Xenopus tropicalis: one gene and its partners. The protein of the gene in region 2 interacts with the protein of the main gene of each other region in a pairwise test. Links are inferred from orthologs where the notes say so. Each region holds a gene or a part of one and is shown on either strand. Other genes may lie near its edges.

Evidence for each region. The genes of interacting proteins can lie anywhere in the genome.
Region 1: the proteins of smyd1 (region 2) and fam204a interact in binary tests that used the Homo sapiens proteins (3 or more experiments, as listed by UniProt). The link is inferred for Xenopus tropicalis from reciprocal best matches to the Homo sapiens genes SMYD1 and FAM204A.
Region 3: the proteins of smyd1 (region 2) and zbtb44 interact in binary tests that used the Homo sapiens proteins (3 or more experiments, as listed by UniProt). The link is inferred for Xenopus tropicalis from reciprocal best matches to the Homo sapiens genes SMYD1 and ZBTB44.

What each region holds. Positions count from the first base shown.
Region 1 is NC_030683.2:6,070,836-6,075,251, forward strand, and holds the start of fam204a (protein FAM204A), read right to left. Parts: upstream 2,939-4,416; coding exon 2,933-2,938; intron 1-2,932.
Region 2 is NC_030677.2:18,437,449-18,441,099, forward strand, and holds part of smyd1 (histone-lysine N-methyltransferase SMYD1), read right to left. Parts: intron 1,491-3,651; coding exon 1,314-1,490; intron 720-1,313; coding exon 506-719; intron 1-505. UniProt on the Homo sapiens protein: Methylates histone H3 at 'Lys-4' (H3K4me), seems able to perform both mono-, di-, and trimethylation. Acts as a transcriptional repressor. Essential for cardiomyocyte differentiation and cardiac morphogenesis.
Region 3 is NC_030683.2:70,131,228-70,135,559, forward strand, and holds the start of zbtb44 (zinc finger and BTB domain-containing protein 44), read left to right. Parts: upstream 1-1,394; 5' UTR 1,395-1,463; coding exon of another isoform or gene 1,464-1,500; intron 1,501-1,542; exon of another isoform or gene 1,543-1,655; intron 1,656-4,332. UniProt on the Homo sapiens protein: May be involved in transcriptional regulation.

The DNA.
Region 1 (4,416 bases), on a different chromosome or scaffold from region 2:
ATGGCCAACGGAGGGTTAATGATGACCTTTTAGTTAGCTGAGACTACTGAGTTACTGAGACAATTTGCAATTGGTCTTCATTTTTTATTATTTGTAGCTTTGTAGTTATTTCCTTTTCAGTTCAGCAGCTCTGCGGTTTGGAGATTTAGCAGCTATTTGGTTGCTAGGGTTCAACTTACCTTAGCAACCAGGGAGTGGTTTGGAAGAGAGGCTGATATATGAATAGGAGAGGGGCTGATTAGAAAAGAAAGTTACAAAAAGTAACAATAACAATAAAACTGGAGCCTCACAGAGCAATAGGTTTTTCGCTGCCGGGGTCAGTGACCCCTATATAAAAAGAGTTGGAAGAAGAAGGCAAATAATTAAAAAATTATAACACATAAATAATGAAGACCAATTGAAAAGTTGCTTAGAATTGGCCATTCTATAACATACTAAAAGTTAGGTGAACTGCCCCTTTAAGAGGTAGCCTTATGGTGGGTTGAGTTGGATATACATCTAGTTGCAGTAAGAGGGGGCCCCTGATATCTGGTGGGCCCCAGAGTCCCAGACCAACTGGGCAGCACTGGACATTACACGGTTATGATTTACATTTGTTTCTCAGTAACATCCATAGGCATCGGAACCCCCCCCCCCTGGATGGAGGCGGAGGGGCAGGTGGCGCAGGCAGAGGGGCAGGTAACTCGGGCGGGCTTCAGGGGGGCTCTCTTTGGCCACAAAAAGTGGGCATGGGCAAAAATGTCTACACTAGCCACGTCCCAGTTATGCCCCACCTGACCTATCACCTTACACAGCCCCTCCCATTCCTTTATAATTAAACATGTACCTGCCCTTTTATGAACAGTAGGTTTTGTCTGGGAGAAATGAACCAATGAAATGCAAGTGTTTGTCCCATATTGGCGATGAGGCAGAAATTGTACAACAGACTAAGCATTGGGCGCCCTCTAGTGGCCGGATTTGTCTATGGCGATGTTCAGCCAACAGGGTGCGCCAGAAGGTTCAGCCAATTTATATGAGGCCTTTGATGAAAACTTGGTCTCTCCCAGTACTTTCCTTACCAGGGGACAAGCCGGCCGCCAACCCTGCCACGGAATATTCCATTTCAAGTGAAAAAAACACAGAATGCTCCCTAAATATGACGGCTGTAATTTCCTTTAATAGCAGCATTATCCAGTTTAGCCCCCTCTGTGCTGTTTTCTGCTTGCGTTTCCCCTAAGGCAGAGGCGGTCAGACATTTCTGGAAGAACATTCATGGTTTGGGGCCCCCCTCCCCACCCAAGGCCTTGGTTCTAATCATGGAGGTGGGCAGTGACCAATTGCCACCCACCGGAGGACATTGTGTAGCCAATGGGGGCACCTTGGCATCCTTTATACTTGTTCTCCTTTGAGTTATTGCACAATGAAACAATTTGCAATTGGTCTTCATTTTTTATTATTTCACTACTTGTTCAGCAGCTCCGCAGTTTGGAGTTTCAGCAGTTCTCTGGTTGCTAGGGTCCAAATGACCTTAGCGACCAGGGGGGCAGTTTGAATGAGAAACTGGTATATGAATATATGAAGAAGTAACAATAACAATACAACTGGAGCCTCACACACTGGAGCAATAGTTTTTTGGTTGCCGGGGTCAGCGACCCCTATTAAAAACTGCAGATAGTTGGAAGAAAAAGGCTAATAATTCAAAAACTATAACAAATAATTAATGAAGACCAATTGAAAAGTTGCTTGAAATAGGCAGTTCTAAACAGTTACCTTAATGGGGACCCACCCCTTTAAGATTATGACCCTTTAGCCCACTCTCAGAGACGAGTTATACCCCCACGGTGTAACCGCGGGTAACATTATCATCCCGCCATATTTGCCCATCATCCCGCCACATAGGATACCAGCGGATTTGTCAGCTTTGAGAGGAGCTTTCCCTAAATATCATCATCAGCCGCCGCATTATGCGCCCCCATAAAGAGATTACATACAATAACAGCATTTACTAGCGCCGGGCCTGATTGCAAGCAGATGTCTCTGCCACCTCATTGTGCTCCGAGGCAGCCCCCCCAATTATGGTGAATGGGAAGGCCGCGCCGCTGTCCCTCTGCCAAGGAACACTAAACCCCAGCAATGTCTGCTCCTAATTTAAGGATCATTTTAAAGCAATTTTCTTTCAGCTGGAATGGAGCGGGGGGGGGGGGGGGGGGCAATGCAGGAGAGAAAATGAGATATGTGTCCTGGGGAGGAATGCGGGGATTCCGAGGGGCCGGTAGCACAGGATCAAGACACTTTATGACATTTATAAGTGTATAATCCCCAGGGGTGTCGGCCTAGGTGTGAGGTTCCGCGGTGGCTTCACTGACCTGGAACCTGAGCGGAGGGTGGGAGAACATCGCAGAACATTATAGTCTGAGATTAGCAAATAGTAAAAAAAAAGAATGACCCTACTTGATGGCTGTAATATTTGGCTAATGGCAGGTTTGAGAAGGTGGCTGGGATAAAGGCCTGGGGATGGGGGGAAGGGGATGTGGGAGGAGGTGTCTCCTGGAAGAAGGCTTGCCACCGGTCCGGTTTTGACCCAGACGGCCTGGTTTTTCATGGGACTGTCCAGGTCAAAACATTCTGCCTAGTTTTCAACTTTCTAAAAAGTGGGCAGAAATCCTCCCAATTGCACCTAGCAGACTCAATTACCCCACCCCCAACGTCATCACGCAGGCAGAAACGTCATCGTGTGATAACATTGTGTGATGATGTTAGCGGTTTGCGTGGTGACATTGGAGACATACAGCACCAAGGTCATCATGCACGCTCCTTTGTCTGCATTTATAACCTGGCAAAGGTGGCAACTCTACCGGGAAGTTCCTAGTTTGGTGGGTCAAAACCTTTCATGAAAGGCCCCTCCTGTAAGCCTCATGGTATAGGCCCTTTCCCGAAGGACCCCACCCGTTACCTTCATGGTATAGAAAATTTCCTAAAGGACCCCGCCTGTTAGCTTCATGGTATAGGCTCTTTCCCGAAGGACCCCACCTGTTAACCTCATGGTATAGGCTTTTTCCTGAAGGACCCCTCCTGTAAGCTTCATGGTATAGGCCCTTTCCCAAAGGACTCCACATGTTAACCTCATGGTATAGGCTTTTTCCTGAAGGACCCGTCCTGTTAGCTTCATGGTATAGGCCCTTTCCCAAAGGACCCCACCTGTTAACCTCATGGTATAGGCTCTTTCCCGAAGGACTCCACCCGTTACCTTCATGGTACAGGCCCTTTCCTAAAGGACCCCTCCTGTTAGCTTCATGGTATAGACCCTTTCCTGAAGGACCCACTTGTTAACATCATAGTATAGACCCTTTCCCGAAGGACCCTACCTGTTAACCTCATGGTATAGGCTTTTTCATGAAGGACCCCACCTGTTAGCTTCATGGTATAGGCTCTTTCCCAAAGGACCCCACCTGTTAACCTCATGGTATAGGCTTTTTCATGAAGGACCCCACCTGTTAGCTTCATGGTATAGGCTTTTTCCTGAAGGACCCCACCTGTTAGCTTCATGGTATAAGCCCTTTCCCAAAGGAACCCACCTGTTAACCTCATGGTATAGGCTCTTTCCCGAAGGACTCCACCCGTTACCTCCATTGTACAGGCCCTTTCCTAAAGGACCCCTCCTGTTAGCTTCATGGTATAGACCCTTTCCTGAAGGACCAACTTGTTAACATCATGGTATAGACCCTTTCCTGAAGGACCAACTTGTTAACATCATGCTATAGACCCTTTCCTGAAGGACCCACCTGTTAGCTTCATGTATGTATGTATGTATATCTTTATTTATAAAGCGCTGTGCAGTAGAATACATTAATACAAACAGGGGGTTAATAAGATAATAGATAAATACAAAGTATAACAATAAATACAGCAGCAATAAGTTAAGAGTCGAGGACACAAGAGGAAGGAGGTCCCTGCCCCGTAGAGCTTACAATCTATATGGGAGGGGTAACTAACAGACACAAATAGGCAAATATAAGTGCTGTAGGTCACAGTGGGTGACATTACAATATAAGTGCAATTACAATATAATGGTATAGACCCTTTCCTGAAGGACCCCATCTGTTAGCTTCATGGTAAAGGCCCTTTCCTGAAGGACCCCGCCTGTTAGCTTCATGGTATAGACCCTTTCCTGAAGGACCCACCTGTTAGCTTCATGGTATAGACCCTTTCCTGAAGGACCCACCTGTTAGCTTCATGGTATAGACCCTTTCCTGAAGGACCCCGCCTGTTAGCTTCATGGTATAGAGCCTTTCCTGAAGGACCCCGCCTGTTAGCTTCATGATATAGGCCCCTTCCCGAAGAACCCTGCCTGTTAGCTTCATGGTATAGGCCCCTTCCCGAAGAACCCCGCCTGTTGGCTTCATGGTATAGACCCTTTCCTGAAGGACCCCGCCTGTT
Region 2 (3,651 bases):
TGCCTTTGCTTTGGCAGGTGTTTTACCACCTATAGCAACCAATCTGCAGGTAGAATTTACTTGTCTCCTGTATAAAAGCCAACATGTTTTTGGTTGTTATGGATTACTGGTACAGGTATGGGACCCCTTATCCGGAAACCCGTTATCCAGAAAGCTCCGAATTACGGAATGCCCGTCTCCCATAGACTCCATTTTAATCAAATAATTCAGAATTTTAAAACTGATTTCCTTTTTCTATGTAGAAATAAAACAGTACCTTGTATTTGATTCCAACTAAGATATCATTAATCCTTATTGGATGCAAAACAATCCTATTGGGTTTAATGTTTTATTGATTTTTTAGTAGACTTAAGGTATGGAGATCCAAATTACGGAAAGACCCCTTATCCGGAATACCCTTGGACCCGAGCATTCTGGATAATGGGTCCTATACTTGTACTGGGAAAACCTAGTGCCTTTTATTACATATGGGGGTTAAAGTTTCAAAGTGCTTGCTGTGACCTACCACACTAAATATATGAGAGATGTACTGCATGCCAAACTGTTGGCTCTGACTTGGCCAATATTCCAAAAATTTCTGAACATCTTCCATGAGTAAGCCCTTCTCTGCTTCATCAAATTTGTCTATATGGTTCTGTAGATCATCAATGGAGACCAAGCATCCCTCAGTGAGGCCACTTCCTTCTCTCTCTATCCTCCAGAGAATTCTTGCAGCCAGTCTGTTGTTATACAGAGAAACAAGAGAATAAACACACAAAGACAAAACACAAATGCTGCGCTAAATATTTTAGGTGCAGTTTTGCCTACATGTATTCAATGTCTTAAATGTAGCTATTGTTTACTTAATATAATGAGAATTTAATTTTAATTAAATAGGACAGTAAAATTGATTTATCTTTTATTTTGCAACTTCCTGGTGTAGAATAAGGGGAAAGCAGTTTATAGATTTGCAGAATGCCCGGTATGATGAACTTATCTGTAAAGCTGAGACTTAGCCTGCAGCTCTTGGAATGGAGGACATTGTTTATACTGAGCTCATTATCTCTGTGATGGCAGCGGGAGGGTGGGTAGACAGAATACATTTGAACTGAACTTGTTGTACTTATGATTTTCATGCTGAACATATAATATAATGTCATTTTATATAAGTGTTGGATTGTGTTTACTTAGTTGCCCAGGGCTGGAGAGAAGCCTTTCATTATTTTAGCAGCCAGCAAAAGTCCATGTTAAGCATATATATTATAAAAGTGCTTAGGGGAGAGCATTGTGATCAAATAATTCATGGGTTTATGGGTAATTCAGGGTTTATATACCTGATATTTTCATTCGGTGCTTTACCGGCTTTCTTAATGGCCACACACTCGTTTTTGTGGTTGGCCCAGGATTCCTTTTGACATGTCCGGTCACAATAGTGAGCAAATTTACACTGTCCGCAGCGCAGTAGTTTCTCCTGCCTCTTGAAGCATGAATGGCACACTGAATGGGAGAGACTGAAGAGAGAACATAAATTATAAATTATACAATTTTTTTTTCATTTAGACCCTGTGGATAAAATAATTAAACTGGAATATCGAGCACAGTGCTTGCGGTTTTCCATATGTAGCCAATAAAAGGAATTCTGGGAATGAATTCCAAACTCCCTATGTAGCCAGAAACTTTTAAGAGGAAAAAGCAGGCTTCAAAGTGCAAAAAAATTAGCAATCTGCCTTTTTCTTTGGACTTTGCACTCTGCCTTTCCCCTTATCAAATTGCCACAAATCTCTGTCCAAGGACACAGAGAATTTTGGGTTCCATTCAGACATGCAAATTTATAAATGGCAGGGGACGTAGGATGCAAAAGAACTCTATACTTACTGCCTGCCCCATGCTGGACTGTGCCCACCAAGGCTAGGCTTTACACCCCATGACTGACTTTTGATATGGAGCAAGTTGCAGTCATAAATGAACTCAACTTTCTTTCCAGAGCAGAATATCGTAGAATCAAAGGGATACTTTTTTTCATAGGCCATGATTAGAGAGTTCATCACATGTAAACAGTTATACCAGACATCTCAGTAATGGCCACCTCACAATATTGGTGTGCCATCTAGAAGTATCCCAGGAGAATCTATAGCTAAGCAGCAGCAGTTATAACTGCCCATCTGTTATATCTCAGTATATGTGACAATGAAGAGTAGTTCAGCTGGTTTGCTGGCTGCCATATCTGGCTGTGGCACCTGGTGCACAGGCTTCTGTCGCTGATTGGCTACCATGACCAATGACACTGGAAGCAAGAACCATATCAGCTTCCGATGTGTCTGCTCCATCGTAGAAGTTACTGGGTACACTGTTTTCTCAGCCCAGGCACAGGGCAAGAGATATTGGTGACACTACAATATGTTATACATTACATTACCTCTAGCCTAAAGCTGGCCATATACGCACCGATAATATCGTACAAAACCTTTGGTGCGTGTATGGCAAGTCGGCGAGGCGACCGATATCGCAGGAGGCTGCTGATATTGGTTGACTCAACGATCGGACGGGTTAAAAGATTTTGTCGGGTGCCATAGAAGGCACCTGAGCAAAATCTGCCTTCAGAGCTGAATCGGCAGAAGGAGTTAGAAATCCTATTGTTTCTACCTCCATATCTGCCGTTTCAGCCCTGAACGTTAGTGGCCGATTGGAACGTGTGTGGCCACCTTTAGGCTAATGCCCCATGGAGAGATGCGCAGGCCTTTCCACCGACTGCAATTCCCTGTGTTCCAGATGGAAAGGCATGTCCGGAGAGGTTAGTCCCCTTTAGTAGCAGAGATTTATCATGGGGACTAATCTCTCCAAAAGGCATTAGCTTTAAGATGACACTTTTTTTACTCTCTCTCTCTATCTGGGAAAAGAATGGAGGTTTTTTTATTTATTATAATACACAAGTGTCCATGAGGTGTGTGACAAGCACTGATTATAACTGATGGCGTCACTATATCTGCATTATATCATTATAATACACAAAAGTTTTGAAGAACTTTTAATATATATCCTTTTAAATAGTGCTTATTAATGTCATCATTTCTGAGTGCTTACTGATGTCAGTTGTGGAATAAAACCTGTGAAATATAATAAATAACACACCCCCTGCTGTAACATATAAAGTATTAGAAATCATTTCAAGATTTCATAACCTGTATAAAAAGTACTTGGCTTTCCGGCTTACACCATTATGTGTCATGTAACTATAAGGTGACGTCTAACACCCTAACATTTATGGATACGTATTTCTCTACATATAATATGCCATTTGTGTTTGTGGTGTTACAGGATAATATAATGCTCATTTTGTAGTAGTTCTGTTCTAGCTATGAGGCAAGATGAACCCAGTACTTCTGTGCAGGGTAGAAAGTTATGTGCTCTCCCATGGGGCACCATGGGGTAATAGGCAATGCAGCCTATCAGAATAGAGGCTATGTTTGTGGTGTTGAAGTTAATTGGACAGAATTGCACAGGTTATACTGTATTTGCCACCCTCTGACCTGGGATCTGTTTCATTAGCCACTTCATTGCCTTCTGCTTTAGTTTTGATACAGCATCTACATTAGCATTATTATTATTATTATTAATCTATGCTACTGTTAAAAAAAAGGCTAGAGGAAAGAGAAAAATCCTAGTACACTCCTT
Region 3 (4,332 bases), on a different chromosome or scaffold from region 2:
ATCGGCCAGGTTTAAAAATTTTAGTAGTTTAACGATAAAATCTGCCAGTTGGTGTGAGTGTCAGACATTTGTCTTCGAACGATTGTTCTCTGCGCATGTCAAGATTGTCAGCAGCGGAAGTCAACAAACATAAATAAATAAATACCGCTTCCGCCACGACATTGGATCGTACGTAGATGTACGATCGTACGTATTTTACGATAATGATACGATTAAATCTTTTGCAAATTATCATTGCCCGTGGATGGCATATCGTATGGAAACCCGATCGCCATACAATCGTTTGTCGATATAATCGTTCGTCGCACAATGAGTGAAATCGCCTCGTGTATGGGAAGCTTAAGACTTTGGGCCGGGGAATGAAGGATTTTTCTGAGAGAGGAAGTCAGATACCCAAAGAACATGTTTACAAAAAAGGAGACAAGAAATCCTGTGTTTCTTTTGATAGAGGATAGTGCATTATCTGTTGCAATTATATTTCCACTTATCGGTTAATAGGCAGATTGTCCAATTTCTGTAGTATCTATACTTACACATCTGTAGTTATGCCCATTATCGATTTTATTGAGGGATTATACTTGCTCGTCTTGAGCAGATTGTCAGTTCCTTTCCCACGGTAATTATACTGGCACATATTGGGTTAATATGCTTATCTATTTTAATTAGTGACTATACTGGTTCATCTGGGGTAAATATGCTTGTTATCAATTTGTTTTAGTAAGTATACTAGCATGTCTGAAGTATGTTTTGGTAAAGTGGTATTTAGGGTGTGTTCACAAAGTGCAGGTAGCCAAAATCAGGGTTGCTCATAATTTTTACTCTCTTCTTAAGCTGTCCCTCTAGTTATACAATCCTGTAAGTTGTGAGTGATTTTATGGGCTACATATATAAATTGATTTCCTGCAAACTTGCCACAGGTTGTTTTTGCTCGATGACTTTGCCCCACCTGAAAAATTTCCTGCAGCTTCCTACGGATTGTCAACGTTTTAGAAAACACAGCATGCTAATAACTAGTAGAAAAATACAAAATACAATAAATGCCAGATAGTTAAACACTCTAACATCAATTAGTCCCTTTTACCGTGCTCTATTGATGCTAACATGATTTTGCAAAGCAAAATTAACTTCCTGCTCGTAATAATCACCAACTATATTAGAAATCACGATTCGTTCTTCCAACCTACTTTTTCTACAACACAGCGCAGCCTCCAAACTGTATCCAAGCAACTAGTCGCCAGACAGTCACCGCCCTTCTTCACGTCACACAACGCCACCCCCCTCTGAGCGCGTTGCATTGTGGGACACAAACAAACTGATGAGCTCTACTCCCCTCGTCCCCCACCATTGAGAAGTGGAATATTCCAAGCGCTTGGGCCTGTGCGCTAGGTTTCGTGGGCACACGCAGTCGAAAACGCTGGGGACGGCGTGCACCAAATGCCCAAACAACAGGGGGAAGGAAATCGATGAGCAAGAAAGGAGGTCGCAACAAGGAGGTGCAAGGTAATACAAGTAGTGTTAGATGCGGTTGTTGGTGGCTATTTTCAGAGGCCTACTGTATTTCCCGCTCCCGTGTCTCGGACTGCGAGAGACGCAGTCAGTCGCGCTTTACCTAAAGCGGCGAACCCTATGAAGGCCGTAAAAGTCCGAGACGTAAGGTGAGATGCTAGTAGCCTTTGGGTAATAATAACTGGGCCAGCTTTCCCGCCTGGTCTCTTGAGGTTCCTTTTTGTACAGGTGGGAGGGGTTGAAATGTCTGCCCCCACCCACTTTGTGTCCCGCCGTCTAGGTAGGAATTATCTTCGTGGTGGGGGAAGTGATAGGTTGACGTGGGTGATTGTGATTATTGCTACTGTTGGATATGGCATTGCTACTTTTTAAAGGCCGCTTGTATTAATATGTGTCTAATTCTAAATCTTGTGTTATATTTGGTCTTTTACAACCAGGGCAACAATCATGCCAATTGTGCATGGGAATATTAATATTGTAGGTGTGACATTTTTGTGACAAAAAGTAATTACGTTTCTTTGGGGGGGGGGGGGGGCATATATTGGTTTTACTGTATGTGATAGTAGTAAAGTAAACTTGCAAATCTTATTAATTTTGTTCTATGCAGGGCAATATTTTGTGGGCCCTAGCCACACAATGATTTCTTTATTTTATTAATCCATTATACTTAACATATGCAAACTTTATTATCACACACAAAGTACACTGCTTGGATCTCCCCCACCTGCCAGCTCCAGTGAATTTTACCAGGATAGACTGTTAGCTTTACTATGCTGGGATTGGGGTTTCAATTCAATTATATGCCAAAATACCAGTTACATTGGTATTCAGTCTGTCACAGGATTGGGCTACCTTCAAAACCAGTGTGGCTGGCATTCCTGCAAGGGATGGAACTACACCTTAGTTCCATTATTAAAGACTTTAAAGCAGGGTTCCCCTACCTTTTTAACCTGTGAGCAACATTTAAATATAAGAAAAAGTTGGGGAGCAACACAAGCATGAAAAAAGTTCTTGGGGGTGACCAAAAAAATCTGTTATTTTGTAGCACCTACGTGGATTGGCAAACTAAAGGATGTTCTGTTTGGTAGTACCTATGGTCTTTATGCCTCCAAGTCAGAAATTCAACAAGACCTGCTTTGAGGCCACTGAGAGCAACATCAAAGGGGGTGGTGAGCAACATGCTGCTCGTGAGCCACTGGTTTGGGATCACTGCTCTTTCATTCAGAGAAAGACACATACAAGTGTGTGCAAATTGTTATGCACAAAATAAATGTAAGCCACTATATATTATGTGTATAAACTTTGTTAAAATTGAAATGTTTTTAGGAATATACAGCTTAATAATGTTAGGGGAAATAAGGAATGTAGAACCTGAAAAAGGGCCATTGATACCCAATAAAGGTGGAATTTACATAAGGGTACTTAAGATTTCAGTTAAGTTTTATTAGTACCTGATTACCTGTTATCTAAACATAAACATTATTGCACTGCAGCTAAAGGTCCCCATACACAGGCCGATTATCGGCCCGTGTAGGGGCAGAAACTAGGGGCCTGCCTGACCACGTTATGATCCGCTTGCTTGGCGATGTCTTGGCTTGGCGGTTCTTCTCCCGATATCCCCACCTACGGGTGGGCGATACTGGGAAAATGTAGGCTAATTCGATCGCGTGGCCCTGGGGCCAAACGATCGAATTCTAACGGCGGCAATAGCACAGTCAGTTCAGGGATCGCTTCAACAAGCCGATGCGGTCCCCGATCCGACTGAATCTTTTAACCTGCCTGATCGATATCTGGCCAATTTCAGATATGGCCGTCGTTTTTGCCCCTACATGGGCCGATAAGCTGCCGTATCGGTCCAAGGGACCGATATCGGCAGCTACGATCGGCCTGTGTATGACCACCTTAAGCTGAGGCATGTTAAACAGTCTGAATTTATATATTTAGAGGAGGCATTCACAAACCTAAAATTGGAGTTAAACTAAAATTAAATAAAACATGCAGTAGAACCCCCATTTTACATTTTTCAAGGGACCATGGAAAAAAGATGTAAAATCAGGGTAATGTGTTAAAGACACAAAGGGGCACACTTACTAATCCACGAACGTCCGAATGCGTTTTTTTTGTAATGATCGGTATTTTGCGACTTTTTCGAGCGCTCAATACGAAAGTCGCACAATTCGCGAAAGTCGTACTGGCTATGAAAAAGTCGCGACAATTCACGAAATTTGTAATGGCTATGGAAAAGTGGCGACAATTCGCACAAGTCGTACCGGCTACGAAAAAGTCGCAAAATGTTCGTTTTCCAATCCGAATTTTTCCCATTCGGATTCGTGGATTAGTAAATCAGCCCTAAAATGTAGCTGTTTAAAGGAAATAAATACAGGAACTTTATTTCCCCCCCCCCTCCACCCCAAGAGCATTCAGCACTGACACCCCATTGCTCCATGACACTGACACAGAGACACCTGTTAACATTGACTTAAAAATTTACATCCATAACTCCTAAAACAAAAATCTGTACAAGAGAATCTGCACATTGTACCTTTAATGAAGGACTGGTGTTTCTGCTGCGCAGTCACAAATTCCCCTGTGCTTGTGCAACTCTCGCAATATTTTGTAAGCTCCCAGATAGGTGCGCATGCACAGTGTGTATTATGAGGCGAAAGTGGTGACGCTGACCTTCCCAAGATGGCACCTGCGTTTGCAAGACATGGGGAAAGCTGAAAGTGTCCTTTTCAGCTTAAAATTAAGCAATGTGCTAGGGAGAGGCATGTTTAAAACAGTGCTAAATGCTGGAAATACAATGTAAATCCCGGGAAGCGAGAC